Linked DNA regions of Lepisosteus oculatus. The protein of the gene in region 3 purifies or fractionates together with the protein of the main gene of each other region. This does not show direct contact. Links are inferred from orthologs where the notes say so. Each region holds a gene or a part of one and is shown on either strand. Other genes may lie near its edges.

The links.
Region 1: the proteins of polr2f (region 3) and polr3d purify together in Homo sapiens (affinity purification with mass spectrometry; 5 studies listed by BioGRID and IntAct, with this or other methods). This does not show direct contact. The link is inferred for Lepisosteus oculatus from reciprocal best matches to the Homo sapiens genes POLR2F and POLR3D.
Region 2: the proteins of polr2f (region 3) and polr3k purify together in Homo sapiens (affinity purification with mass spectrometry; 5 studies listed by BioGRID and IntAct, with this or other methods). This does not show direct contact. The link is inferred for Lepisosteus oculatus from reciprocal best matches to the Homo sapiens genes POLR2F and POLR3K.

What each region holds. Positions count from the first base shown.
Region 1 is NC_090697.1:62,941,405-62,950,930, forward strand, and holds the start of polr3d (DNA-directed RNA polymerase III subunit RPC4), read right to left. Parts: upstream 4,743-9,526; 5' UTR 4,636-4,742; intron 4,526-4,635; exon of another isoform or gene 4,325-4,525; intron 3,733-4,324; 5' UTR 3,715-3,732; coding exon 3,571-3,714; intron 2,493-3,570; coding exon 2,449-2,492; intron 1,664-2,448; coding exon 1,509-1,663; intron 1-1,508. UniProt on the Homo sapiens protein: DNA-dependent RNA polymerase catalyzes the transcription of DNA into RNA using the four ribonucleoside triphosphates as substrates.
Region 2 is NC_090714.1:15,976,982-15,986,562, reverse strand, and holds polr3k (DNA-directed RNA polymerase III subunit RPC10), read right to left. Parts: upstream 4,295-9,581; 5' UTR 4,255-4,294; coding exon 4,123-4,254; exon of another isoform or gene 4,070-4,122; coding exon of another isoform or gene 3,959-4,069; intron 3,180-3,958; coding exon 3,092-3,179; intron 2,901-3,091; coding exon 2,773-2,900; 3' UTR 2,243-2,772; downstream 1-2,242. Other genes in the region: snrnp25 (U11/U12 small nuclear ribonucleoprotein 25 kDa protein), read left to right, coding at 4,794-5,015, 5,280-5,370, 5,691-5,796, 6,062-6,136, 6,483-6,540; uncharacterized protein, read left to right, coding at 8,922-9,303. UniProt on the Homo sapiens protein: Core component of RNA polymerase III (Pol III) which synthesizes small non-coding RNAs using the four ribonucleoside triphosphates as substrates. Can mediate Pol I proofreading of the nascent RNA transcript.
Region 3 is NC_090707.1:38,686,479-38,697,022, forward strand, and holds polr2f (DNA-directed RNA polymerases I, II, and III subunit RPABC2), read left to right. Parts: upstream 1-5,888; 5' UTR 5,889-6,034; coding exon 6,035-6,054; intron 6,055-6,290; exon of another isoform or gene 6,291-6,348; intron 6,349-6,473; coding exon 6,474-6,543; intron 6,544-6,711; coding exon 6,712-6,842; intron 6,843-7,451; coding exon 7,452-7,523; intron 7,524-8,507; coding exon 8,508-8,598; 3' UTR 8,599-9,165; downstream 9,166-10,544. Other genes in the region: c12h22orf23 (UPF0193 protein EVG1), read right to left, coding at 1,149-1,232, 1,470-1,570, 1,896-2,027, 2,218-2,403, 3,069-3,131, 3,507-3,609. UniProt on the Homo sapiens protein: DNA-dependent RNA polymerase catalyzes the transcription of DNA into RNA using the four ribonucleoside triphosphates as substrates.

The DNA of each region.
Region 1 (9,526 bases), on a different chromosome or scaffold from region 3:
TCATTTAAATGAGAAATTTTAGAAAGGCTATTTTTCCTGTGTATCAGTTCTCAAACGTACTTTGGTAAAGACCATGTGCAGTTATATAAACTAATGTCTTCAGAATTACATACAAACATGCTAGAAGCATAATCACATTAGGTAGTAGTTATGAAAACCCAACATCAAATGAGTTTCACTGAGTGTTGAAGTCAGAAAATATGTCTAGCAAGAAAACTGTATTTCACATTGTTTTGGAGCCCTTATTGAAGGAATTCTCATTCACATGTTACTGAATTTAAAATAGAAAAGTGTTAATTGGATGTAGGGGTCAACAGATGGCACTCTTCCCCTGAAGCAAAATGTCCACACCAATACTACAGTATGGGGACAGGAGATACTGTGGAGAAGGAGACTTTATCTTTCAAATCATACTTTAAATTGAGGTTTTACTACTTATTCTTTATGAAAAATTACTAGAAGTGCCTACTGATGTGCTGAATGTTAACCCCAGTGTCCAAGCTAAATTCCACAATCCAGCCTCCATAATGTTCCCCCTGAATTCAGCCAGTGAAGCAATTTCTCACTAATCTGCAGAGCAGCCGGACTGCTGGCACTAATGGTTGTCACATGAGATGTCACTCATGTGGTTTTGGCACTTCAGTGGTGGAAGAAGCAGGTCCCATCCTGTCTCAAGCACTTTGGGAATTCTTTGGGATTACATGACATTCTCTTACCTTCCACTAGGTGTCACCATTATAAATCTATTAATTATCCATCCACTTACTGCAATAACTGCATCTTCTAATTCAGGGTCGCGGGGGAGCTGAAGTCTATCACGGCAAGCAATGGGCACAAGACAGGGCACAATCTGAATGAAGCCAGTCCATCACAGAGCAGACATGCAAACACTCACAGCTAAGGCCAATTTTCTGAGAAGCCAATTCATCTACCAGCATGTTATTGGACTGTGAAAGGAAATTGGAGCACCCAGAGGAAACCCACGCAAACACAGGGAGAACACACAAACTCCAAACAGACAGCACCCCAGGTCAGAAAAGCCATACTAATCACTGTGCCACCATGCCACCCACTCCATTATTTCAAAATAAAATTAAAAGAAAAAAAACATAAAATGAAAATTTCTGAATTCAAATATTGCTTTTTTGCCCAGTAACAATGCTAAATGCCACAGACTGTATATACATAAACTCATCACTCATTAAACAAATTTTGCTTAAGAGTAATTTCTTTATATGTTCATGAAGGGGCATTTGTTTAAAAAACTTGTGCACTGATTTTTTCTAGTTTAGCTTTATCACTACCACATTTCTAACAACATTAAAACTATTATTACAGCCAGGTTGTCAAAGGACTCCTCATTAAAAAAAAGTAAAAAAGAAAGTAGGAGCAGAAAAGTAACTGAATGCTTTCTGAAATCAAACCAGACAACCAGAGAGGTGTGCACTTCATAGCTAAGCTCTCTGGTATTCCTGGGAGTACATGCAAAGAGGAGATGCCTTTCTCACCCCTCTTTTTCATCATCATCTCGGCAGGGCCTTGCTCAAAAATGGAGTGGGACTGAATGATCTCAGGGCGTCCCCGACCCCTTCCTCGCCCATCCCGCTGACGATCCCTCTCTCTCTCCTTCCTCTCCTTCTTCTGGTGGCCCTCCACCTTCTGCCTGTTGGAATGCAGAAATGCAGTGGTGACATCATGTACCCAAACACTTCCCAACACACAGTAAAGAAAGGATTTTCCTCCCTTGTTAATAGTACCAATCTCCTCCACTGTCTAGGCCTAGGCAGTCCCTCCAAGCAGCAAGAGAGAAGGGAGATGGATGTGACAGACCGAGGGGTAAAAGGAACTTGTGGGTTTGTATCTCAGAAGCTCTGCCGTCTGTCCTCCAGACAGCAGATATGACCAACCCTGGAAGCCTTTGCTTCCTGCTTTTAAACTGTTGTATGACCACCTCTCTTACAACAACTGTTCAGGTGACTGAGGACAGCAGCTCTGTCCCCCCAGTTTATTGGGTCATGTAGTCCAGATAAAGGCTGCCATCTTGTCTGAACTTCCTGCCCTCTCACGCCCTGCATAATTCATAAGTCCAGCCTCGCAAACAATGCTATTTTGGTACTGGCTCTGTTTTGTGGTTGTCATTGTAAAATCACAGGCTTTTGTGGATAGATAGACAACATGCACATAGACACTGGATTCACTCTAACCAAAAATGTTAAATTATGCTTGCAAATGCAAGTTTGCTACTAGACTTGAGTCTTTCTTCATGTTTTGCTAAGCTTTTTAGATTGAAAAAAAAATGTAATACAGATGAAGTACTTAAAATATACAACAAACCAGTGAAGGCTGATCTGACTATAATATTTTTTTTTTCCATTTAGGCCTAGTTCTCATTATGAACTCTGTGGAAGAGACCTAGTGGTACTTGTCTATAAAAGATAATTTACTTACTCTTCCTTGGCTTTGCGGCTGATGATATTGGGGGTGAAAGTTTTCTGTAAGATACAGAAAAAAAGACACTGATTGGGCCTGTGACATCTGAGATTTATGCCATCTAAAACTCATCCAACAGCAACCAAATAAAAATGGGACAAATAACAAAAGTCAAAAGTCTGAATGCTTGAAAGTTTAGAAATTTCTTTAGCATTCCTGGTTTTCCGGATTCTTAGGCAACAGATAGTACATGTGACACTAAAATTGCCATGCAGCATTTTTATAACAGGTAAAATATATACTATGAATGTTCAGGTATTATGCGAGATCAACACTAAATTACCAGTCACAGTCACCTATTAGTAGACTAATATGTAGACCTAGATCTAGTTGACTTTATGTTCTCAACCTTCTTTACCAGAAGGACATGAAACAGATTTTTAAACTCATCAGAAAAACAGTTTAATAATAATAATAATAATAATAATAATAATAATAATAATAATAATAATGTTTCTTTATTAGCCCTATACAATTTCTTGCATTAGGAATTCGTCTTTTCGTATACCCCAGCTTTTCTCCATGGAGACACAGACACACAGACAGGGAGTGAAGCTTGGGGTCAGAGCGCAGGGTCAGCCATTGTACGGCACCCCTGGAGCAGTTAGGGTTAAGGGCCTTCCTCAGGGGCCCAACGGAGTAGGATTCCTCTGCCAGCCGCGGGATTTGAACCGGCAACCTTACAGTCACAGGCGCAGATCCTTAATGTTCCTGCTTTGCCCCCTCACCCCCAGATGCCAAGTGAAGCATAACAGGACACCTCACAATTTTTTTAGCGTCAAAAATATACTGGTCGGAGAAGTGCAAGACACTGCATATGACAGGCTTACCCCAAAGATGCCTTCAGCTATTTATTCAGAAAACTGTTGCAAAGCAACTGGAATATTTCACTTGCTAAAATGTTGCAAGAAATATTAAAGTTAGTATTTTGATTAGCACAGCTCCACTCGATTCTACTGCACCTACATTAACACATCCAAGAACTTCATCAGTCCAGATGGCACTGCACCTCATAAAATCTGTCTCTGACCAATCTGCTATGTAATTGGGGAGCTGCATGCTCTGTCTATTCACTCCTACCTTCTTCACACCCCCCAGGGTGAGGTCGCGAGAACGCATGGAGGGCAGGCGTCCCGTCACAACAGGGGCAGGGAGTCTCCTTCCGGGCAGCGCAGGCCGAGACACCCCTGGGGGCAAGGGATCCCCACCACAAGGGTCTGACATCGCTGCACAATCACACCACTGCAGCAGAGAAAAGATGGAGAATAAGAGCGACTGAGAAACAGGCGTGAGGAACTCCTTACTAACAATTCACTTTGCCACAATGGCACCATTAAAAGAAATGACCAGTCGCTGAGAAAAAGGGGCTCATGTGATGCGCATCCTCAAACACATCAGTGTGATCCACGTAGCACAAATTCTAATTTGTACTTAATCTTTAGAAAAATATTTATGATGAAATTTATAGTCAGCCACTAACAGGAGAGGTCTGTAACTCTAGTTCTGAAAAGCAACAAGGATAATCGATTGGGCAACTGTTAAAAATGAGGCAACTGACCGAAGACGTGATCTTTTAGTTAAAGTGAAACTTTCACTGAGACTATTCTCCTGGCCTCGTCCTGTCCAGGACTAGAAAACCTTACAGTACCATACACTAACTTCACTCCGCTCTCTTCTGCGGAGCTCTTCGGCCAACGAAAGAGTACTACACGAACAGCAAATAACGTTGTGATGAAAATTTTAAAATGAATTCGCTTTTCGCCATCTACTTGAACTCGCTCGATCCTGTTACATATACAACAAGCTGGCTACACATGTAAATCACTTCATTTACCTGAACTGGAAAGAAAACGATAAAGACTTCTCTTCCAAATGTATTTCAGATACAAAACCAGTACAAATGATACTGAAAATAAATCGTCACCAGCTGAAATGCACTATTTTTGTCGGGTTTTTTTTACAATCTGAGTCACACATACACCTAACTCATGCAAAAACCACCATGACAGACTGATGTTGGACTTTTCCCTTTGAACTTTCACCTTGCTCGCCTGTGCTAGCCACCATGTTTGTAAGGGCAATGTTGTTTCTAGAATAGTTTTGTTCAAATTACACTACCGTTCCGCTGCTGAGATAAGGTTGTACCTTTTGAAGTTAAAATTCTCAGCAATTTCGTCACTAGATCACACAGGTTGCTCAGGTTGTGTATCTCATCAGAAAAAAATTGAGCAGCCATGTCGGCAAACCAAAAGAAGAGTTGTTCTTTCAATGAAGTGGTATGCAAAATTTCCTCACTCTTGTATGGTGCTGCCACCTAATGTGGGGATGTGTGAATCGCCTTAAGGTCAAGTAAAGTTTCCTATGAAATACGTTTGATACTGTGTAGGAGATCTATATTCCTATGTTTACGATGTGTCCTACTATATTGTTTTGCATTATACAACGACAAATGTACACTTCTACCTTGTAATATTTATGACATTGTAATGTTTATTATATATGCACCTCTTATATATTTGTTGTAACACATATGGCGTGTACCACTCTCTAGAAAATTTATATAGCACCTTGCCAGCAATGAAGCCAAATTCTCTTTAAAGACTATTCAAGGTTTTGTGTAGACCACTCTGATTAATGTCAGCAAGCTGACACACTTATTGTAGTGCACAACAGACCAATCGATGCAGAGGACCAAGAGTGAAGGTCCAGACAGGAGTATCTAGTCACATCTATTATTATTATTATTATTATTATTATTATTATTATTATTATTATTATTATTATTACTTCAGAACTCTGTCTGACAGCAATCTAACTGATTAAGTCGTGGGACCCCACTTTCCTACTGCGTTTCCTACAGGTACATCCTGTCTTGACAACATTCCAACAGGACAATGTATGTCCTCAAACTACTCATATAACAATGGCTTTCTGGCAAGGTGAAAATGTGACTGTAACGCCTGGGATTCCCACACTAGATGTGAACCTCATTGAACGTTTGTGCCCAGTTGAACAGAGACAGTTATAGATGATTGTTGAACTGGAGTTCAGAGACCAGTGAACAGCCATGTGGCTTAAAGGATCTGCAAGAGGGATTGGCACAGAATCCCACAAGGCCATAACTGCAGCCTTGTGATTTTGCTTTGCTCTGCAAAGCATGCGTCACAGAATGTCAGCTTGTATGGTCTGTGGCCACACACACTACTAGCCTGTGAGTTTTGCAGTACAACCCACTCTTGGTAGCAAATGATCATCAGAATAATTAATTTACCTATGTTTCTGGAAAAAAAAGTCAGCACATTTAAAAACTATGCAAATTTGTTGTAGTTATATGTGATAACTTCATTTTCATTGTCTTTATATTTATTTTCAGTGTGAATCTTCCATTAGTGCTCTTTTTTGTCTTTCACTCATTTCCTGATTTTTAACTATTTTTTTAAAAAACAGTCTTAGTGGATTTCCTTCAATTAACAGATTACTGAGTCTTAATTTAATGAAACCTACTATCATTGATAAAATGTAGGCAAATTGTTGATAATAGTATGTAATGAATGCAGAGGATGACAGAAGAGGATTCAACTATTATTACATTATAGTAATATGTTGTCTACTGTCTTTCTTGTGTTATTTACAAACATAAACTATAAAGAATAAAATATAATGAAAAGTCAGAATTGCAATACCTAAATAATCAGGATTTACACACTTTGGCCCTCAATGATAATCTGCATCAAGGCTACAGTATGTTTTTGCAATCTAACACTCCACATTATCTTGATACCCATATTAAGGTGCCTATACACTCGTTATGTAATTTTCTAGGCATATATTATTATGATGATGATGCAAAACAAAGCCCTGCAGGTTTAAATTATGACACAGAAAGCTATTCTGTTAATATTCTACTACTGAGACATCATAATTGTATATCATAATTATCTTTCAAATGTTCGTATTTGTGCTTTGCAATGCGTAGAGCGTATTGTAGCCACCACACATTTAACCACAATAAGACTAATACCGCATTGCTTGCTAAAGACCTGTTCGCCTTACTCAGGAATCAGTAATTTAATAGACATACTGTACAGTAATTGTAGGCACAAGTATTTGCGAATTTCAACATGTTAGAAACTCAGACGCTGCCTTATTTCTATGACAAGAACAGGGCATTTTGACTGTTATCCGTGGTTTATCGTTCAGCTATTCATCGTTTGTCTTTTTAGCCCAACAACAAGCTCCAATGTCTAATTTAGCCACTTGTTTTATAATGTTCTAGGCGGATTAATTTCGGAGCTGCCGCAGTGCTAATAGCTGACGATCCCTGTCGGTCCCAATCTGCACCACGGGTACAGACTGCAGACAAATTCGAACTGACTGAGTCCAAGGATCTCTCGCCCCAGCTTCGCCCTTGCCTTCCTGTCACGGCCGTTCAAAGACAGATGGTTTAATTTGCCTTTGATGAGTTCGGTGTACCGCGGCCGGCAGGGGAGAGATGAGACATTGCCGAGGTTCAGCGATGTTATCACTTGCGGCTGGATGGTTATGCTGAACTACGCTGTCAATAACGTGAGCACGATTGCCTATACGCTCTCTTGAGCACATCGCTGATAAACTGTTATCGTAGCGAATTTTTATGGTAAAGTTTACACAGTGACTCCAAACTACACCCTAGATTAATCGCTATTCCCCCTGCATAGACGTGCATATTGCATTACAATCAGAAACAGTCTATGGTCAATAATAATAATAATAATAATAATAATAATAATAATAATAATAATAATAATAATAATAATACAAAACAATTCTGATAATACCATTAGAAGAACCATTATTGCTATAAAAAGATTTTCTCAGAAAACTGTCTTAAACCATTTTGAGTGGGCTGTCAAATCGCCGTGCGTTAATTTGAAGTTATTTGTAGTTTGAGTAGTTCTCCAATCACTTACATTCAGTCTTTCTCAAAGCACTTGTACTTGGTTTTCTTATGACACGTAACCTGTACTCTGTTGGTTGTTTGATCTTTTGCTGTTGGAGATGTAGTAGGGAATGATGTTATCTGAAAGGAGCTGAATTACGGCCTCAGAGCCCCAGTACATGGGATTTTCCCCAATTTGGATATACTTTGAACAGGAAAAGAAGGCAGAGAAGAGGGACACAGATAAATACTTCATAGAAAAACACCTTACAGCAACACACATATTGTATCCAATGCAATACTGGCCTTAACTGTAGCTGAAACTAAGTTAACTGTATGGATTTTGAGTTTCCTATAGAGATCTCCATATGGTGTAGCATCTGGTTAGCCTCTCAGGACTCTGGCAGTGGAGCCTCTAGCCTGGACTGAATTTGATTCAGGCTGGGTCCACATTTATGTAAAAAAAAATGGGGTACCTGTTATTCCTGCCCACCACTGATATAGATTATCTTTCAAATGCTGATAAGATGGCAGTTTTGGACAATAAGTACAAATTGCATAATAGTGTTTGTTATTTTGTTACCTCTGTGTTATAAACTGTTATAAGGTTTATCTGATACTGTAAATATGAGCACAGGAGAGAGCTCATTGGCTCATTGGCCAGGGCACTGTGAGTGGGGGTGGTGGTGGTGGGGGGGGGGCATTGATAGAGGTTAGGGGAGCTGTTCTCTTGATTGTGTGCTTGTATGTGCGTGTGTACATGTTTATAGCAGTGAGATTGGTGCAAATTTGGGCAATGCAGCTATGCAGCACTGAAGCACGCAGTGTTTTGACAGAGCTGCTGGGCAACTGAGAAGGATAGTGAAATAGAGAGAGAGAAATACAAGGCTCGCTTCACTTTGTAATCAGTGTTCCTGAGGGATCCATCATCCACTACAGACGACGAAAAGAATTCACTGCGGTCTCTCTCAAATCAGATCTGAAGAGTGGTTTTATTTCAGATCAGGGCTGACCACATAATCTTTGCTGCACGAAGGTAAGGAATTAACAGTCCCCCATCCTTCTGGCACTGATCTCATCCAAGGGTAACTTTCCATTTACAACATCAAGTTTGTGTAAGGTTAATTAGTTGGGCTTGAGTAGCTAATGTGAAAGTTAGTGTGCTTGTTTGAGTAATACAGAGTGTTAGGTAGCAGGATGTTTTGTAGTGGATGTCATACGCAATGTATTTCAGGAGCTAAATGTAAAAAAAAACTGGACTGCAGTATGTTCAGTAGCTCTGAGAGCATTCTGTGGTACAGTGAGCTCAGTAGAAATTGTTGAAAGTGTTGGGTTACAGTGTGTTTAGCATCTCCACATTCAAGAATTCTGGTCAGCAGTTTGTTCATTGCCTTGGTCTTGCTGTGCTGAAGTTTGTTGAGTAGATCTGTCCTGGAGTTCTGTTGTTCAGAATGTGGTAGAGTGCTGAGCAGCTGCATGTTTAAAATCTTCATGAGCAAGAGCACTGGGCAGCAGTTTGATCTTAGATTATTGCTCTGCAGTGGGTTCCATAGCTCAGTGGTTTTGTTTATTGTACTGCAGTGGGATTGAGCAGTTTGGTGATCATTACATATCATTCAGTAATGCAGATATGTGACTTATCTGTGATGTTATCTGTTTGTGTTCTGAAACCATCCAGCAAGTTCCATTTGTTGTTTACTTCAGATAACTCAACTCTGCGAATAACGTATTGGATTATTTTATTCAAGATTGAATCGAGAAGCCAGAATATTACATTTCCACCAACACATATTTTTTATTATTTATATTGCTTTTTTTTACATCATGAATGTTTTTATTTTTTCCTTTTATAAAAAAGGGAGCAACACGCGTTAAATAAAGGAACAAATATGTAATGTGCATGACCTTTTGTAAATGTCTGGTATAGGTGTCATTTAACATCTGGAAACAGCCAAGCTTAGAAGTAAAGTACATGGCAAGGTGTTTGTACATGAGAACTAATATCCCTGGAGTATTTTGAAAACCAGTGGCACTGCTCATCTCATATGCTGAGCTTTTATAATTCTCTAATTCCTTTCACTTCACTTCCCTGCAAAGCCAAGCGATGTGAAGGACATA
Region 2 (9,581 bases), on a different chromosome or scaffold from region 3:
ATTTCTGTTGCCGTCAGCTTCTCTCTGCTTCTGCTCATTGCTATACCGACAGAAGGGGGTTTGACATCCTGTCTGATAACGCTTTCAATTTATAATCAGTTGATAAGGAAGAGATGAGTGAAGCATCCTATCGCATTGCTTTTAAGTGTGCATTCATGTCATTTTTGTACAAAAGGGACAGTGCCCTGGTCCGTTGTAGTTGGTTTAGCTTTGTAATCTGTGATCCATGATGCCTGGATTTGAATCAGACTGTAGATGTACAGTTATACTGTATTTCAAATGTTTTTGTTTTCAGAAGAATTACTTTTACCTGAAATAGACAAGTTGATCTTTTAGACGAGTTGAGTGTCACGGCCCGCATAGCAGGAACTGCACTTGCAGGCATACATCGGGGAAACCCCACTCAAGTTCAGATGGAGAACGTCTCCTGACTGTCATCTGTACCCAATGTATTAATCAGAAAGCCTTTTACTCAAGCAGCATTACTGAATGCTACCTTGACACCAAACTGGCACTCAGAAGCTCAATCAGTATTATTCCCTTTAATTCATTAAGTTGCAGGCTGAATTCTCTCTGCCGGTAGTTAAGGGTTATTCACTTTCTGTGCTGTTTGCATCACCTTTTTTTCCTCCTTTCTCCTTTCCTCACAGACCATCTCTGGAATTCATGTGTGTGTTGTAGTCCCAGTGTGCTTGTTTTCACTCACTGTTGATGAATTTACATGCTGCCACTGGGAAAGTGCAGTAAAAGTGTGAGCTATTTTAGCCCTGCTATCACTGAAAGAGAGATTCTGTAGTGCTTTTCTGACATGCTTTCCAGGACAAAGACTAGGTTTCTAGGACTGTGATCCTTGAGTTGTTTTAGAAGAAAGCTGCTTTAGCCCTGTGCTCCAGCATTGTTGTTTCTGGATATGATGACAGCGATACACCAGCACGACCCGCCAGCTGCTCTTACCTCTGTGTCCACCTAGTGTACTGTAAGCGGCTGTTCTGGAGCCTCTGATCCATTCCGCTAACAGAATCTTTCTTGCACAATGCTGTGTCACATAGCTGTCACCGGGTCCACTTGCATCACTGCAGACTAGCACAGATGCATGTTCTTCACAGGCGCGAGATAGGAAACGTGTTCTTCACTCCAGTCCTATGCAGTGTGTTGAATAAAGAGGGTTTTCAGTAGTTTCTTCGCCATAAAATTAGATGACATTTAGACCAATAAGATAATTCCAAGCACCAACTCTGTTAAGGAATAACTTTATTGGTTCTGTCTGACTGCCACAAGTCATGGTATGAAATGCGTTAAGTTCTTGCTTATGTCTGGGTGAAATACATATGTAGCATTTCACATTTTTTCTTAATGTTTTCACTACACTCACAAAGTAGCTGTTTTGATGAAACTCTGCTTCCTGGTATAAAATAATAATTGCTTACACTTATAAAGCGCTTTACAGGTAATGGGGACTCCCCTCCACCGCCACCAATGTGCAGGATTACGCAACTTTGACCAAGTGTCAAGGATCAAGCCTCTTCACAAATGCCCAATGATATCAAGCAGGAACACTGCAGGGTGCAAAACCTTTTGAATGTGGTAAAGAAAAAGATTTGTGGTTTGTCCGTGGAGCCACCTGCCAGTAAGCACTCAATGAAAAATACATTGTTGCTTCTGTCGGCCATTCAGACCTTAATTATTCCATTCTAATTACATTTTTTAGGTATGTTTATTTCCAGTATATTTCTATTTTTTAAACTATGCTATTAACTACCTAGCATGTTTCAAAGTCTGAAAAAGCCTATCGGCTGCAGCTAGTAAAAATGAATTGATGATATATCGTAAATGTCCCATGGCAGTGCATGTTCGAGCTTCTTATGGATATTTTGCAAAAGCAGGCTGGCCTCCTTTGACATTGTACGCTCCAGCCCTCTCTGTACGCAATGTGAAGTGGCTTGCAGTGCTGTGGAAAGGCTGTGATGTTAAAGGTGGGTTGAAGTGCACAAGTATTTTTTTAGGAAAAGACAATGAGATCACCTTCAATCCAGTCACCGGTATTCTCTGTTTCTATCTGTGTTGCCATGTAAATTACACTGCTGCGTAAGATGAGCCATGCGAGCTGCTCCACTACTACTGCACTGGATACTAAATTATTCTTTTAACAATAAAAACAAAAAGCAAAGCGAGAACCAGCCTCTTTCCTTTAGCTTTCTAAGAATATGTTGGTTCTGAATGACCAGCGGTTTTGAACACAGGATCACTCGACACAGTTTTATTCTGCTCACTTCAAGACCTGTAAAAGAATGACAGCTTCACATTTCCTCTCATATTTCACCCGGTAATCTCTTCAGTGCGGTGAACTTTGTTCAAATATATACACGTATTAAATAGCTTAATACGACTACAACCAGAGCTACTCCACAACAGGTCTGTCTGGCACAGAACAGGCTGTCTGCTCATTCCTCAGAGCCCTTTCAGCATCCAACACCAAGAACTTCCCTGGGAATATTCAAGACAGACAAGTGTCATGTTTCAATTGCAGCCCTACGGTGTTTTTGCTATATCTCGGCTGGGGATCCTGAATCACTTCAACGAAGTGATTCTTTAGATGCCACAGGACCGTTAATTATTTGTTCAAAAACTTAGCATGGCTCCTTCACTTGGAGTACACATGAGAATTTCCGATGGCCGCTAACCTGGGGGGGGGACGGCCAGCATGCCTGTTCTAAGAGGTTTAACACACAGCGGGGGATCAGACAGCGAGGCGAGGGCCGGTCCCTGCGGCGTTCAGTCTCTCCAGCGGTGCCCACACTGCTGGTTGCAACACTTGTAGAAGGTGGTCATGGGCTCATCTGCCGAACGGGTCTGGATCTGCATAAAGTAGGCCCGGGGGTGCTCGCACTTCGGGCAGGTCTCTGGAAAGAAGACACCAGAGGTAGCAGATGACAAAATGGTGTAGGATTGGCACCGGACTTCCTGACTCGCACCACTGGACACCTCGGGAAAAATGCGGGATTTTCCCCATCTTTGGCCCACGGCACATTTGCACTAGACAACGAATAACGAAAAACGGGGATTTGTTTTCCCCTTTCTCGAGTGACATTACCTGGAGTGGAATCCACATTCTCCCAGGCCGCAGCGCCGCCCAGAACGTCATCAACCTCCTTCAGTTTGGGGTACTTTCTGTTGGTGACCTACAGCATCGAGAACACGCTGCGTCAGGAAGACGAGCAAGACGGGTGTCTTACACGCAGAGCACCACCCGCCCTGCAGACCTTCTAGACCTTTCGCCCAGATTATAGGGGTCCCGATGGTCTTTTTTTTTTTCAGGTGACATTCGCCCATGAGAATACTCTCGGAGGCGCACGCATAGCGCCATTAAATTAAACTAATTAAACTCCACACGCAACTAATCCTGCCATAAATTCTCAGATTCCCATATATACCCCACGCCACTCTGTTGTCTCCCTCGCTCGCTTCGCATCCCTACTCCTCCATCCCCATCTTTGCTTGTGCAACTACACCTTGGTCACCTTTTCACCGGGCATGGGGTCTTAGTCTCCTCGCCCCATGGCCGGGAGGGTAGCCCTCAGCCAGGGTGGGCGGGGGTTAAACCAGGTTTCCACAAACTCATTAAACGATTTTACTTTCACGCAGGATTCGGCTGCCCCCGTGAAGGAGGAGCAGCAGGAAGATTCAGCCACTGGGGGGGGGTACAGCCCAACTACTGCGCTTGACTCGAGATAGTGGGGAAAAAATGTAAGAGAAATGAATCCAAAATGATACACAATGTTAGCAAAAAGCTGCATCATAATTTGGACCGCTGAATATGTTTGCTTGTGACGCATCTATACCCAATGAGCAAACGCAATTATTAAAATATAACAAACGTCTTAAAATACTAAAGTATACGACTCAGGCACGATGATAGAGACCCTACGCAATGTAACAAGAGCCTTGTCGACTCTCTTACCTTCCTAGTTATGTTGTGTATATAGGGACAGGTGTTACACGCAAACCTGTAACACTTCTGCCCTTCTTCCACAATCAAGACATTTCCACAGGTCGGACAGAACAGCAACATCTCCTATCTCAGAAGAAAAACAACTGTATTTGTTGAAAAAGACGTCTTCGAACCTCAAGACGAGTTTTTCGCGAATTCCTCAAACTGCACGCCGCAAACTCTCCCGTGTCACGCAGTTTTAAGTGTCCGCTAGGAAACAATTCCTGACTCAGACAGTTCCCACAGCGCCTGCAAACGAGTCGCATTTGTGGTCGAAACTGTTAACAGTTTAAACCACTATCAAATCAGAAATATATTAGGTAATGTATAAATGTATTAGGTTACTTTTTGTCTATGGCATATTCCATATTTGTGAGTATCAGTGTCCTAGGTACAAGAGTCGCCTAGTTTCTCCGGGGAAGTGAAAATGAACGGACCCGAGAATTGTTTAAGCGTCCGTTTTGGAAGACAGCGGAGGAGAAGCAGTGGTGAGTGCTATTTAGCGTCTCATTTTATAAAGGTGGCGGTTTTTCTTTGGAGGTGTGATGAATACTCTGCAATAACTGGACTTGACGTGAATATACTTGTCAGAATTGATCTAGTTGATTCATGATAGACCGAGTTGTGTTCAGTGCAACCATTAAGCATTGATTTAAAATTCTTCTCGTCTGGCCGTGATGAGTGATGACCCCTTGTCATGTTGCACACAGAGTCTGTTCATTGCAGTCCGCCGGTGTGGGTTTGAATGGAGGGCCTGTTTTAAGGTCTACTCGGCCCCGCTGTGTGTTCATCCCCCCGAGTGCTGATGGCCGAGGCGGTGGAGACAGGTTCCCCGGGTCTCGGTGCAGGAGCGGCGGTGAAAGAGGAGGACCAGACCGGAGAGCTAGAGACGGAGGACAAAAAAGTCGAGGAGGAGGAGGAAGAGGAAGATGAGGAAGCCCTGCCCCACGCGGAGTTCCTGGACATCTTCGAGGAAGGTCTGGCTCAGATAGTGCAGGACCCCCTGCTCTGCGACCTGCCGATACAGGTTGGTTTATCTGCCTCGTCGGCTTCTGGATCCTGGATAAGCTGTGTAACCCAGCAAGACAGATTTGGCAGCAATCCCTGTCTGACATGAAACAGGAGGGCACGTGTGGCTGCAGCATAGAAAAAGTGTGAAAGCTGTGAAGCTGGGGTGGGGTGGGGGAATAACCCAATATGACTTTGAAACCCTTCAAACCCACGACCCTCTGGGACTCGGGACTGAGCGTTCCACAGCTGAACCCTCCTGCCTGGCTTTCTGTCACTCCAGGTCACTCTGGAGGAGGTGAGCTCTCAGGTGGCTCTGGAGTATGGCCAGGCTATGACTGTGCGTGTCTGCAAGGCCGACGGGGAGGTCATGCGTGAGTCACGAGTTTTTGTTTCTTGGCTTTTTCCCCCCTCTTAACCTGTTGTATGATCCGCAGGAAATCAGGCAACCAGATGCTTCTCTGTGGGGTTGTTGGGTCACTGACTTGGTCAGGCCCAGTGGCTGTCAGCTGTTTGAATTCACAGTCACTAGTGAACCACAAGATGTGAAAGCGACTCCGGAGTGATTTAAGCTACTCAGTACAGGCGTGTAGGACAGGTTCATCGACCCTCTGGGTTGAGGTAGTTAAAGATCGTAAGAAAACTTGAAAATGAGAGGAGGGATTCTTTTTCAGACAGCGGTGCTTTCTTGCAGCGATCGTGGTGGTGCAGAACGCCTCCGTGCTGGATCTGAAGAAAGCCATCCGCAGATACCTGGAGCTGAAACAGCAGCGTGAAGGAGGGGTGAAGCACATCAGCTGGTAGAGTGTCCTGCAGTCGAAAAATACAATAAAACGGTCTAGACTGGAGTCGGGGGAATTTTTCCTTTTGACAACATGGTCAAATACTAGAGATCCTGCATGCTTTTTTTGTAAAAACTCTGGGATAAGACGCTGAAGCGTGAATTACTTTAAAGTCAGACATCACTGTAGGGTCATTTTAACATTGATCTTTCTTTCACATCCTGTGCGTAATTGTGCGAGGTAAACTTCATCGCTCGTCCTTTCCGATTTCTGCCTTTTCAAGGAGGTACGTGTGGAGAACCTATCACTTAATCTTCAACGGGGAGAAGCTGGAAGACGACAAAATGAAGCTGAAGGAGTAAGTAAAAACAAACATTCCCCTTCCCTGGCATTGCTGATGAGTGTGAGTGTCTGTGCTCTGTGAGCTGTGAAGCGAGGGACACAACAGTGGATTATGTATCGCAGAATGTGGCGATGTGCAGATAACCGATCGGTTTAGGGCTCATTCGAACCAGACCATCCCAGGTGCTTTGTTGCTACTGGGTTTTAAAGGAGACAGCAGCAGGCGGGGGTGGAGATTGTGTTATTTTGTTGAGAGGTAAAACTGTGTGGAATAACCTCACTTTCAGGTTTGCTCAGAGAGAGTTCTTTGTGTGGAACCCCAGAGCTTTGTCCTGAAAACTCTCTCTCTTTTCTTTGCACAGTTACGGCATAAGGAACAGAGATGAAGTGACTTTTGGCAAGAAACTGAGGAAAAAGTAAAACAAGGTAGCGTCTTACAGATTTACCAGTTACTTAAGAAGTTCTGCCCGAGTTGGGTTCCTTTTCCTCTACGCTCAGTTCGGCCCTGTGGGATGCATGCAACACAGGCATTTCTGAGGTGCTACTGGTGCCTTGCTTCCTGAAGTCTGACCTGTTTGGTACCCGGGTTATAAATAACACCAAGCCAAAAAAAAAAGTTCAAATGTAGACCGCATTTGAATATATGTCTTCATATTCAAATTAGTTCTCTTCACTGTGCTTGAGGAATTGATTCAGCCTTTATATACTCATTTTCTAAGGCTTTTTCACAGTCCAAATGACCGATACAGAGCCGTGTTCTGGAAATCTGAAAGATGCAAAATGAAGTGTTGTAAGGAAATGTCTATCAGATCTTTGAAAGTTTATAATGGCGACTGTGCGCTCACTGTGCTGGTCAAGCCCCGGCAGTTTGTGTGTCCTGATTTACGAGTCTTTTTGAAGTTTTACATCGCCGACATCAGAACCCGACATTGTTTTGAATTCTCGGTGACGCTAGTGGATTATGTATCGCAGAATGTTAAACACATTGCACCCAGTGATGTAACGAACGGAGTTCAGCCCACTTAAGATAAACCTGTACTCCATGACTTGCTGTCTTTAAAGTGCTAGTTTGTTTCAGGTAAGCTAGTGTTGTTAACAGAATGTCAGCGTGTCATTCTCTGGACGTTTTGTTGATTTAGGTGTGCAGAGACGGAGCTGTGAGGATCATCTCACTCCCCTTGAAGAGCTATACACCTCTGCTCACTCCAGCGTTCAGCTCTGTACACTGAGAAAGCTTTGTATGACTGTTGTGTCATTAGGTTTGTTTTATAGAGATTTCATAAAAAACTGTATTTTTTCACATTTTGTAGATGGTTGTACATTGATTTCTCTGTGTAAAAAAAAATTGTCAAGTGAAAAATCCGCATTAAAAAACTGCAGTGCTCCACTTGTTGAGTGTGCGTTGTTCAATGACGTTCCCTGGTTTGGGCAGATGAGATGGCCCTTTGTCCCCTGTGGTATTTACAGTTCAGTGAACATTACAGCAAACAAATTAGATGCTTCTTTGAATTCCCCATCCTTCATATATACAGGGATTTGGTGGGATTTGGGGGTTCCTAGGGCATAGATGTATATAGCAGTGTGTTATACAGCCGAAGATGTGTATACTAACATTGTTTTTACTGATCTCATGCCTCGTTTTAAAGTATAAGTGAAGGTGTTAAGGACACTGTACTATACCACATACTTTAAATATGGTGTTTGCAACAGTTTTTTCTCCTCTCTATACTGGGCAAAGAGCAGGTGTCTATTTCCTGGAGTCGCAGAGCTGCACTGAGCTTCGGGTTGCACAGACAAGCTTCTCTCGCCTGGCTTGAAGAGAGGTGAGATCTTCAGCTTTTGTGTATAAAGGTTATTTAACACTTGAGAACATTAAAGTCTTGGGCAATGGAAACATCTTTATCTATTAAATCAAGCGCTGTTGAAGATGTACAGTACGATGGAAGGGTGGAGAATTGGGGAATACATTTAATTAAGCTTTTCGTGTGCTTATATGTTGCTTGAGTGCAAAAATAAAAATCATTTGATCGTATTTATATTTCACAATGGACTTGAGACAACTGCATCTGCCTCCCAGTGAATGTACGTATAGATTTTTTTGCTGTGTTTCTGCTGGTTAACGTGGTATGCACACTGTTGGCACGAACCTGTACTTTCGAAAGCTGGCACCGGGGTGGGGGGGGTTAGTACTGCCAATTCACTGCTGCTCTTGGGTCCTGGGTTCAGTTCTTTCGGGTGTTCTCCCTGGGGGTGGGGTGAGTTTTCTCATCTCCCACAGACTTGCTGGTTAGGGTCATGGGTGTGCCCTGCAGGGGACTGGCATCCTGTCCGGTGTGCCCGACCCTGATCGGAACAATGCGGGAGCAGAAGTCCATCGACCCCCAGGCTGGAAGCGGAGTGTGGCTGCCTGGCCTCTTCTCTGCGCCGCGGTTTCAACGTCCTGTTGAAGCTGGTCCGCCTTCTGTCCTGAGGAGGGTTTGCTTGGGAGCTTTGCTCTTTCTCTTACTGCCTGGGGCGCGGTGGGGGGAGAGTTGTGTCAGCAGTGAAGGTCTGGATGTTGGGCCCTGTGATTAAAGCCCTGCTGAGCTCGATGCTGCAGTGAGACCACGCGGCCCGAGGTAGAGTAACCAGCTGGCCAGCCTGCTGGCCCCCAGGGGCCTGTGCTCGGCGTTCCGTTTTCCCTCAGCTCCTCGTCTCGTCCCCAGGAGGTGGCCACAGCATGCCCAGCCCGCAGGAGCTGCAGGAGCTGCAGGAGATCGAGCAGGAGCTGAGGCGGCTGCAGCTCAAGACCCAGCAGCTGAATGACCGGCGAGCGCTGCTGTCCATGCTGCAGAGCTTCCAGGAGGACACCAAGATCATCGCCCCTTCTGGCAGGAAGAAGAAAGGTCCCCTGGTCCCCGGCCCCCGGCACCCGCTGTTTTAACAACACACACGCCCGCCGATTTTCTTTTAAAGCCAGGTTTCTTGCCAAGACCCGAGCTGTGCTTTGGCCGATTGTTAAATTTGTCCTCGTGCCACTGTTCATTCAGTGTCCAAATAACGCATTCTGGTGTCTAGCAGACGGATCGGGGAAGAAATCGGAGCTGGAGGAGATCGAGGAGGAACTGGAAGCTCTCTCGGAGAAGGAGGAGGATCTCCTTGCCAGGAAAGAAGAGATCCTCTACCCAGATGGTCAGAAACAAGGTATGGCACTCCTCCCCCGAAATTTAAGCACAGAGAATGAGGGACAATACAGCCCAGTCCGGTCCAGCTTAGGGAAAGTAAGCGTTCCTTGGGGACAGAGCAGCAGCTGGCTGTTTCCTGGTGGGTCTCGGAGGCAGAGAGCTGCACTGACCTGTGGATCACACACACCCATACACCTGTGGGGAACAGGGGTGAGATCTTCATGTCTCCTGGGTGAAGGTTATTCATCACTTGAGCATGCTAAATAGCAATGTGTACAGTGCACTGGGGTGCAGAAG
Region 3 (10,544 bases):
CTGTATGGGACGTGTTCAGGGCCTGCGTGGAGGTCAGCAGGCACAGGCCGTGAATTTGTTTTTTTAACTGGAGAGGGTGTAAGAGCAGGTCACAGGTCACAGGTCACAGGTCAGGGAGAGCACTCAGTCCTGGTTATGCAATATTTAATGTCCGTTTTTAAAGATGCCTTTGTGTTTTTGTTTTTTGTTTTTTTTTGGATTTCTGTGTTGAGTAATAACTGTGGCCTTAAAGAGCTGGATTTCTGGATGAAGCAGCACAGAGCGTAGCCCCAGCGGTGTGGGAGCGTGCATGCGGACCCAGCACTGAGATACCCTGTCACTTCACAGACGGACCGGGTTCGAAAATCCTGGAACGCGTTCTTGTCCTCTGTAAATACCTGCACGTTAGCACCTGGATCTGGGTCAGTGCCCTACAGCTGCTGAGCTGCAGGATGTGCATTTAGAGACCAATGCCCAGTAGAACCGGTACTGCGAACAGCAGGCCCAGTTCGCCCGGTCGGAGCTCGGGTGTGGCTCTGCGTAGTTCTGGGAGTTTGTCAGTCTGTCTCTGCCTGCCTGGGCCCGTGTCTGCTTCTTTCAGAGGGTCAGAAATAGTCATAACACAGCTTGTCTACCCAAGAACATCCAAATAAACTAACTTAATGAAACGCATAGCAGTTGTGTTTTAAATCTTTAATCAATTTTGTGTTCTGTCATGAACCGTATCTGGGTCATTCACTGCAGTCCATTCATGGGTGTCTCACGCACATCTCGGTGTCTCCAGAAGAAGAGAATTTGAGCCCATTACCTGTCGGTCTGTGTATGAGGGTGTGTAAGGATACGTCTAGACAAAGAGCAGACTGACTGGTCTAGGACCCCCGATTGAAGTGACCCCTGTGCTCACAGTACAGGGTAAGAGTCACGTACTGGGAGCTGTGACTCAGTGGGATGTCCAGTCCAGTCTAAACTGTGTTCACCGGTGGCGCTGCTGCGTGCCGGACCACTGTCTGTGTTGGTGGAGCGGGAGAAAATTTCCCAAGGTCCAGAGCTGAGCGCACGTCTCTTATTTGTGGGGAATAAGTCATGACACCTTGAGGGAGCTTGTCTGGTCCACTCCAGACCTGTGTGGCAGGAAGGGGTGACCGAGCTGACCCCCCAGACCCCCTCACTCAGGGCTGCTCCTGCCCCCTCTGCCTCAGGGCGCTCAGCTCCGAGCTCCGAGCCCCGTCGATCAGCTCCAGCTCACGGATTTTCTGTGGAAGAGAGGAAACGGGATTTCACAGAGTGTCACGGTGTTCATGATGTCGCCCCTGATGATGCCATCAGCTCTGTTACCCGAGTGATGCAATGCTGATGACATCACTACATGTTCTCCAACTGCACTGATGACCCTTGTGATCTGATGCTGGTGATGTCATCGGTGTGTTGCAACGATCCGTGCACGATGACACGGTGCGATGATGTCAGCAGCACGGCGTCACCTCTGTTACCTGGGAGATCTCCGTGCTGATGATGGTCTGGTACTCCTTCCCTCTTCCCAGCGCAGTCATCTCCTCCAGGAACTGCCGTCTCTCCTCGATCTCGTCCAGCACTGAGACGGGACGAAGACGCGGAGGGTCAGACTCTCGGCAGCGGTGATTCTTGAAACACTGAATCGAACTTTTACAAATCAGAAGTGCTCCAGCGTGGGACAGTCTTGCACATGTGATCAGGGTGATGAAAAAGGGAAGACCCTATATGGGTATTAGTGACTTTTTCATATTTTGCATCCATGTTTTGGTTGGCTGGGACTGCTACACATCATCACTGCCTGGTCTGGCAGATCCCTTTATGGAAAGCAGAGGTTAGGCAAGCGATGGAGAGGTCTAGCAAACCATGCAAACTGCTGGCTCGGGCCAGTCGGTGCTCCTCCTCACCCTCCTGGAAGCGATCCCTCCCCGGGGTAGCTTCTGTCCCGGCAGCGGCCGGCAGGGGGGGCGGCGGACCGGGCTCCTCGCGCCCCGTGGCCAGCAGGCTCTGCAGACGCCTCTTCTCCTTCTCCGGGTCTCCTGGGAGTTCAAGAGGAGGAGAGAGAGGGCACGGCTGAGCTCTGAGCTCTGCGCTCTGCTGCGCTGCAGGGCACAGCCCAGCCAGGAGAGGCCCCAGGCCTGCCCTGTGTGCCGCTGCGCTGGACAGCTGGACCGCTGGACCGTTGGACCCGGTTCTGGTGCTGTAGCTCGCGGGGTGCGGCCAACTCACGTGTGGGTCTGGGGCGGAACCTCTCCCTCTGGTAGCTGTCCCCGGCCTGACACTGTTCGGCGCTGCGCCGCTGGGGCTTGAAGGCGGGGCTCGGGCCTGCCCTTGGCTGGGGTCTGGGAGCTGCGGCTGGGGCTCTGGGTACTTCGCTGGAGGTGGGGTGACAGCGCGGCGGGAGGGCGCCCCCTTCTGGCAGAGGAAAGCAACACCAGCAATGGTGCATGAAAACCGTGCTGAACCACAGCGTGGAAGACGAGTAGATGTCACTGCAGGTCTGCACGGGCATGAAACTGAAGCCCCCTACCCGAGACCTTGAGACCCAACCCGACCGAGCCCGAATGGTACTGCCTAATTTGAAGCCCGAACCTGACCAGAACCCGAAATCGATCACTGTCTTTTCCTCTCGGGGCGAGCAGACACACGTGCGCACACGGAGACGGATTCTCACAAACACAGTTCTGCAATGCGAGCGTGCAAAATAGGTTATGAATCTCTTCCAATAAAAATACATTTTATGACATAAAATAATAATAATTCATTTTCACTTATTAGAAAACAGACCCAAGCCCCTCATTGCGCAGAGGCGAGTGCGGCGTGAACACCAGCTCTGCCCACCCGCGGGGTCGGACAGGGGTCACCAGAGAGGAACCGCAGGACCCCGTTCAGGAGTCGTGTTTAAAAACAACCACCCCCCCCCCCCGTGACTCAGGGTGGGTGTGATTTGGAAAAGGTAATGAGCTCAGGCGAGACGAGGAGCGCAGATCCTGGCACGCCTGTGGGAGGGTATGCCAGGGCGTGTCTGGCGAGTCGCGCGATCGGGACAGTCCCCGCCGGCGGCGGGTTCCAGGACTCACTCTGCAGCCTCTCGCCGATCTGTCTCTCCTGGAAGCGGGTCAGCCGGGATTCCTGCATCATCACTGCAACAGGACACAAGTCAGGCTGTCAGGCCCCCCGACCCGGGGTCACACGCACACCCAGACACCATCAGATCACGCTACCTTCCTCTCCACGACGGCGGAACCGTCCCAGACTCTCTGGGCTCCACTATGCTATAGTCCAAGCCTGCACTGCAGGAGGCTGGAGGAAACCAGAGACCTACAGCACCACGTTGAGAACTCACGCCAACCCGTGGAGGAACATGCAGACTCCACGCAGACAGGCGGCAAGCTGGGATCTTGTCCTGCCGTCTGCAGCTGTGACGCAGCACCGACGCCCCGCCCCCCCTCAAGCACTGAATGGGCAAACGCACACGCCGGGGGACACACACTCGGACCCACATTCGGGACACTCGCCTCTCAGGAGCTCCTGGGTCTCCTGGCTGTACTGGGGCACACGGGGGCAGTTCCACAGGCCGCCCCCGGCTCCTGGGAGCTGAGCTCTGTCTCTGGAGGACATCAGACGCAGGGTCCTGCACACAGGAGCACACAGGGGTTAAGACAACACAACCATTTCCTTTATCCTATTCAGGGCCCTGGGGAAGCCAGAACCTATCCCAGCAAGCTCCGGGCGCAAGGCAGGATACACCCAGGATGGGACGCCAGTCCATCGCAGAGCGCACACACTCACACCTGGGCCAGTTCTGCTGGTACCCAGTTAATCGACCAGCATTTTTCTGGACTGTGGGAGGAAACCAGAGCACCCGGAGGAAACCCACACAAACACGGGGAGAACATGCAGACTCCACACAGACAGCACTCGGGGTCGGGGATCGAACCCGGGGCCCCAGCGCTGGAAAGCAGCAATGCTACCTGCTGCGTCAAGGTGCCGCCCTTAACTTGCTGTGCGCAGCACAAACTTTCAACATGCAGCAGAGTTCAGGACGAGCTTGCGTGCCGAGAAAGAGCTGACTGTTGGGAAACGAGTCAGGTGAAGGGAGCAGTGAGCAGTCCAAGAACACAGGAACAATACCGGGCCTCGTGCCCAAGCCTCTGGAGCAACAAGATCTCTCTGTGGCTAAAACTGGGGGACAGGTAAAGTATAATAGCTGGAAAAGGTGTCTGTTCTGCAGCGAACGAGCTATAAAGCTGTCAGGACTGGAGGCAGGCTGCCGAGTCATCACTGTCCCAGTGAAAGCGCCTGGGGGTGAAGGCAGAAAGCTGCCTCTCCAGAGGCTGCAGGGAACAGCCCTTTCTCTGTCCTGTTCCCGTCTCCCCAGGCTTGTTTCTTACCACTGCACTGCACACTGCTCCTGTACCCCCAGACTCCCTGTACCCCCTGCACACTGCACCTGTACCCCCAGACTCCCTGTACCCCCTGGCCACTGCTCCTGTACCCCCAGACTCCCTGTACCCCCTGCCCACTGCTCCTGTACCCCCAGACTCCCTGTACCCCTGTCCACTGCTCCTGTAGCCCCAGACTCCCTGTACCTCCTGCCCACTGCTCCTGTACCCCCAGACTCCCTGTACCCCCTGTCCACTGCTCCTGTACCCCCAGACTCCCTGTACCCCTGTCCTGAAGTTTATGACCTCACTCCCCTCCCTCTCCTGTACTTACTGGATTGTCCCAGATGGGAAATTTGCTTTGCAGGCAAGTAAGACAATTTAACACAAACCCATTAACAAATAAGAGACATTCATGTACAATGAGAAAAAACACAAATATATGAGGTAAAATGTACATCCAATTGTCCCCATTGAGCCGGATCATAGCCGTGGGAATAAAAGATGTTCTACTGAATCTGGGCGGTCTAAACTGAAGTCATCTCTAACTTTATTTCTCATTTTACCCCCGTGACTGTTTCTGGTACTTTCACTTAACATTCATTTCGTGTAGAGCGTCACTCCGGAGAAGAACATTATAATTACAGTAACCACCCTCTGTTGTGAGACATTTGCAAATTGAATACTTATGAACTACGTTCACTCACGCAATTCTGGTCTATTAACTGTGTATTCATAAATATCGCCCCATGGTTTGAATTGCAATAGCTACACTGCCTCTCCTATAGCTACAGTGATGCTGTGCAGGACGGGAGAACGGCCGCAAGCTGCACCAAGCGTTACCCTGAAAATCATCCCCGACACGAGCTTATGAACCGCTGATATGAACTGCAGAAAGACAGACATCTCACCCGGTATCGTCTCCAGTCCGCACACAGCCTGGCAGCGCGACTTCCGGCCAGGACGCCGAGCCCTGCTGCCATGGCAACGGCGGGGCCTTGACGTCACGCCATGACCCCTCCCCGCCGCCACCCGAAACAGGTTGTTAAAGAAAATTGTTCCTGCAAAGTAACCGAGTTCCACAGACTTCTCTTCTAAGGCATTTATATGTTATTTCGTCTGCTGTCGCCTATTGTTATATGTTTTCTCTTAATGTTTATAAATAAAGCTTTCAGTAATGGGAACCTAGTGGGTATTAATAGGTCATATGGTATGAAATCAGTTATTTTCTTTAATCGCTTTGAAAATATTTTCACATGCTGTTTGGTAAAAGGCTGTTATTAGGTACGTTTTACTTCGAAAAGTGGCATTTATTATGCTAAAAGTTTCATATTGTTATGTTAAAGTAACAAATGTCATTTTTTAACTGTGTTATATATTTGTACTACTGTGTCAGCAGTTATAATGCCCTATTCTGAACAAACTCTCAAGAAAATTCCGCAATCAATAGAAGAAATCCGGGTCATTAACAGAAAACTGACAGTACAGCAACTGTGCTGTTTGACCCGGAAGTTGTCTTGCCTGGGGCGGAAGTGAAAGGAGGACGGCGTGGTGCTGAGGAGGAGGCGGGTTGTTTGTGCCGAGTGTGTTTAGTCGTTTTTCGGCTGCTTAAAATACTGCTGCAAGTTTTCCTCTGAATTCCTCACGCTTGCGGGTGAGAGATGTCTGACAACGAGGACAAGTAAGCGAATCCCCGTGTTTCTGAAAGGTTTCATTCGGGGGTGTTTACCGTCCGTGTAGCTCGCAGTTTCCGCGAATCCCGAGATCAGTGCGTATGTGAGTGAGATGGACGACAGATTTTGAACCACATCAGCTGGATTATTAAATATTTATTCTGATAGCTGGTTCTCCCCTGGCCGCCTTCTCCGTGGCGTTAAGAGGCTGCAGGTTTTCTCTCTCGGGCTTCATCGATCTTACCTGCGGTCCGACGAGACGATGCCGGACGGGTCCTGAGCCCCGAACTCGCCCTGTTGATTCTGACGTTCCCAGCCGGATGACCCACAAACCCCTTCTCCTCAGCCCCTGAGGACAGCCCCCCCGGCGGCTTGCGCCCGTCTGCAGCGGGGCGACCTGACCCTCCTCTTCCTCCCTGTCTTTCAGCTTCGACGACGGAGATTTCGACGATGTCGAGGAGGATGAAGGGCTGGACGATTTGGAGAACCCGGAGGATGTGAGTGTTTCTCACCTGGGCCTTGTCTTGGGACCCTGTTTCTCTGGCAGCGGGGCGCTGTGACGTGAACCCCACCTCTCTCTCTGTGACCTGACCCCCTCTCTCTCTATAATGTGAACCCCGCTCTCTCTCTGTGGTGTGAACCCCTCTGTCTCTCCCTGTCCGCAGGAGGATCAGGAGAACGTGCAGATCCTGCCAGCAGGGGAGGGCCAGCAGGCCAACCAGAAGCGCATCACCACCCCCTACATGACCAAGTACGAGAGGGCCAGGGTGCTGGGCACCCGGGCGCTGCAGATCGCGTGAGTGGCCACCCGTCTCCTGTCTGCAGCTCCCCTGGTCCAGACCCGTCTCCCCGTCCCGGGTCGGTCTGCACGTCTCCCCGTTGGGCTGGACAGAGCGTTGCTTGACTCTGAGTGTGACCAGTTCGGCTGACTCAGTCTTGGCCAGCTGGACATACACGAGGATGGCCGGCGCTGCGTTGGGGTTATAAAGGCGCCCTGGAAAATAAGAGGGTTCTAGAGCATGGCGGCGCTGGGGGTCCACAGAGGGACCCGTACGCCACATGACCTCAGTTCTACGCCTCCCTGAGCCGCGCCCTGACTCCCTGCGTCCCTGGAGAACTTTGTTCCTGCAGGAAAGGACTCCCGTGCGGAGTTCTTGATCTGTTGCTTCTGCCTTGAGCTGATCTGGAGAGAGAGACCGACAGCGGGGTGGTTCTCGAAACTGGCCCCCCCTCCCGGTCTCGCTCCTGTGGGTGTCGCTGCGGCTCCAGGGTGGAGAGCGCGCGGCAGTCTCCTTTCACAAAGAGGGGCGGGAGGGTGGAGCAGGAATCCAGTCCGTCGCACCGTCCCGTGTTCTCCAGGCAGTGTCGTTCTCACGCCTTCCCTCCCTCCCCTCTCTCTCGGCAGGATGTGTGCCCCCGTGATGGTGGAGCTGGAAGGAGAGACGGACCCTCTCCAGATCGCCATGAAGGAGCTGAAGTGAGTGCTGGGGGGAGGGGGAGGAGGAGCAACAGGTGTTTCTACTCTGTGCCCACCAGGGTGGGTGGAAGGAACGCAGCACTCGAGAGCAGGTCGTTTTCCCCACCCAGCAGGTTAGGCTGCTCATAACGAATAGTTGGTAGGGATCTCACCCAGCTGTTTCTTGAACAGCCCTGGAGGGGGAGATGTCTTCAACGGGGCCTGGAAACGAGTTCCAGACACCCAACACTCTTGGCGTAGAAAGGAAGTCTGGAACCGCGCTTCCTTGCTGTGTGCGGCGTAGGCTCAGTAAGCCCGTCTGTGTGCTCCCTGGGAGATGGTGGAGGCCTGTGGGCCCACGGCGTGATGTAAAAGCACCGGAGTCCGGACTCTCGGCTTCCCGGCTCCGTGACCTGTCTCTCCGTGTGTGAAATTCCCAGGGGGTTTCTGTGGCTGGCGGGTATTCCAGAGTCGTGCGTCTCCATGGCAGCGGACGGCGGCAGGGGCCCCTCCCGCCTCCTGTCTCCGCGCCCGAGTGCCAGGCGTTCCCGGAGCGGCGCAGGGGAATTCCGCAGCTATGTGGGGATTTTTCAGGATTCGCGGTCTGCCTGCAGTCGCCGTCTGGCCTGGCCGCCGGAGCCCGGCACCCGCTCTCCGGGTGATGGGGCCGGGAATGTCGGGGCGCCTCCGGGATGGCCGGAGATCGGGAGCCTTGCTTCCTTGCGCCTCGTCCCCTCCTCTGTCCTGAGTGAGAGGAGGGCGGGGGAGAAACCGGCGAGCTGTTTTTGGGGTTCCCTTCGCAGTGGCTGGGGTTCGGGTCTGGGGCCCCAGTAAAATCCCCCCACTGTGTGAAGAGCGAGAAAACGTAAACGGGGCGCAGGATGGGTCGCTGGCTCCGAGGGGGGTGAAGGGGGGAGGCTTGGGGGTCGCGTGGCCTCGGGTTCGAAGGAGAGGGGGTGTGTGCCCGCGCCTCACGGCTCTCGGTCCGTCTCCGTGCCCCCACAGGAGCCGGAAGATCCCCATCATCATCCGGCGCTACCTCCCGGACGGCAGCTACGAGGACTGGGGCTGCGACGAGCTCATCATCACGGACTGAGGGGCGCCGGCCCCCGAGCGGAGCCGGGCCGGGCCCCGCGTTCCTGACCCCTCCTCCCGCCTCCTCCAGTTCCCCTCCCGCTCCTCCTCCTGGCTCGCGGAGTTCCCCCCGAAGAGGAACGGCAGCTGGCGGCGGGAAAGGCCGGGAATTTGATCCCAGTTCCTGGAAGCCACAGACCCTCCTCTTCGGGACAGACAGCCGGGCTGACTGGCTGACCGGTCAGTACCGTCACCTCGTCCGGCGGGATCGGAGGACAGGACAACGTCTTCCTGACGGGCCGAGCAGGGAGCTCGGGAATGATGTGAGAGTCCGAGCTTGGATCACATCACATCACGTGAGGTTTTAGCTCCAATCCCGCAGTGTGGACACCCCACCCCGTTTTAACTCCAGTTTTCCTTCTGCTGTGCACTTGGATGGCGGCTGTGGCCACAGAGCTCCACCAGGGGGCGTTAATATTTCAGAGAAAACCAGGTCTGGCGCTCGGCTCTCCTGTGCATTTCAGTGATTTACAGTTTGTAAAAATGTGTATATTTTTTGTTATCGGAATAAAAATGGCAAAATTCCTAAGGTGCGATTCCCTGATTTCATGTTACGACTGGTACAGTTTCTGGAGTTTCTTTCACAGGGGGTTTTGGACTTGTTGCCGATGTGAGAGACTCCTAAATTGGCAATTAAGCGCTCCAGAACTGGATTGCTGATTCTGATCGTGTCCGTCAGGGATTTGCCCAGTCTGGGTCTGTGACCTCTGGTTTCCCATGATGCTCCAGTCCTCTCCCCACACACCAGCTCCCAGTGGGGAAGAGAGCAGAGTGATGGAGCCAGTTCAGAGAGGGGGGTTATTGGGAGGCCATGACTGGTAAAGGCCAGGGGGGAAATTTTGCCAGGACACTGGGGTAACACCCCTACTCTTTTCGAGAAACTCCCTGGGATGTTTAATGATCACAGAGTGTCAGAACCTCTGTCTTCCCCTTCTCGGGTGGAATGAGGAACACGCCCCCCCCCCCCCAATCCCGTCCACTTCCTGCTGGCGGAGTAGCGTGCCGAGAGCCCGACTCCGCGCTGGCACGGCGCCCTGCAGGCTGGCAGCACAGGCTTGGCTGCCTCTCGCTCGGAAAGGTGAAAATCGCTCTCGTCTCGAAACGGTAACCCAATCCCCTTGTTGTATACGTGCGCACGGACTGCTGTGTGTGTGTATGTATTTGTTTTACCTGAAGCAAGAGCGTTGAGTCACTCCAGCTTTCCTCTGGAACTTGGTGTTCCAGACGCCCTCCCTTCCTCATAGACGGGCAGAATTAGCCCAGACTGCCTCTCCCTCTCCACCAGTCTCATGCATCCAGAAACCCCCCCCATCTGACTCCTGGTCACTTCGAACTGCTGACTGTATCCCACTCTTTCTCAGTCTCTCTGCCCCTCCTAGCCTCTCTGCCTCAATCGCCGGGCCTCACTGCCCCTCCCAGCCTCTCTGCCTCAATCACCGGGCCTCACTGCCCCTCCCAGCCTCTCTGCCTCAATCACCGAGCCTCACTGCCCCTCCCAGCCTCTCTGCCTCAATCACCGGGCCTCACTGCCCCTCCCAGCCTCTCTGCCTCAATCACCGGGCCTCACTGCCCCTCCCAGCCTCTCTGCCTCAATCACCGGGCCTCACTGCCCCTCCCAGCCTCTCTGCCTCAATCACCGGGCCTCACTGCCCCTCCCAGCCTCTCTGCCTCAATCACCGGGCCTCACTGCCCCTCCCAGCCTCTCTGCCTCAATCACCGGGCCTCACTGCCCCTCCCAGCCTCTCTGCCTCAATCACTGGGCCTCGCTTCCTTGGTCTGAGGCATTTTGTTCTGCAAATCGGCAGAACGTCAGGCTGGGCCAGGTAGTGGAGCTCCTCAGCCTCAGCCCCGCCGTACCTGTGAACGATCAGACTGACAGACCGGGGCGGGAGGGGGAGGGCTGTGCTG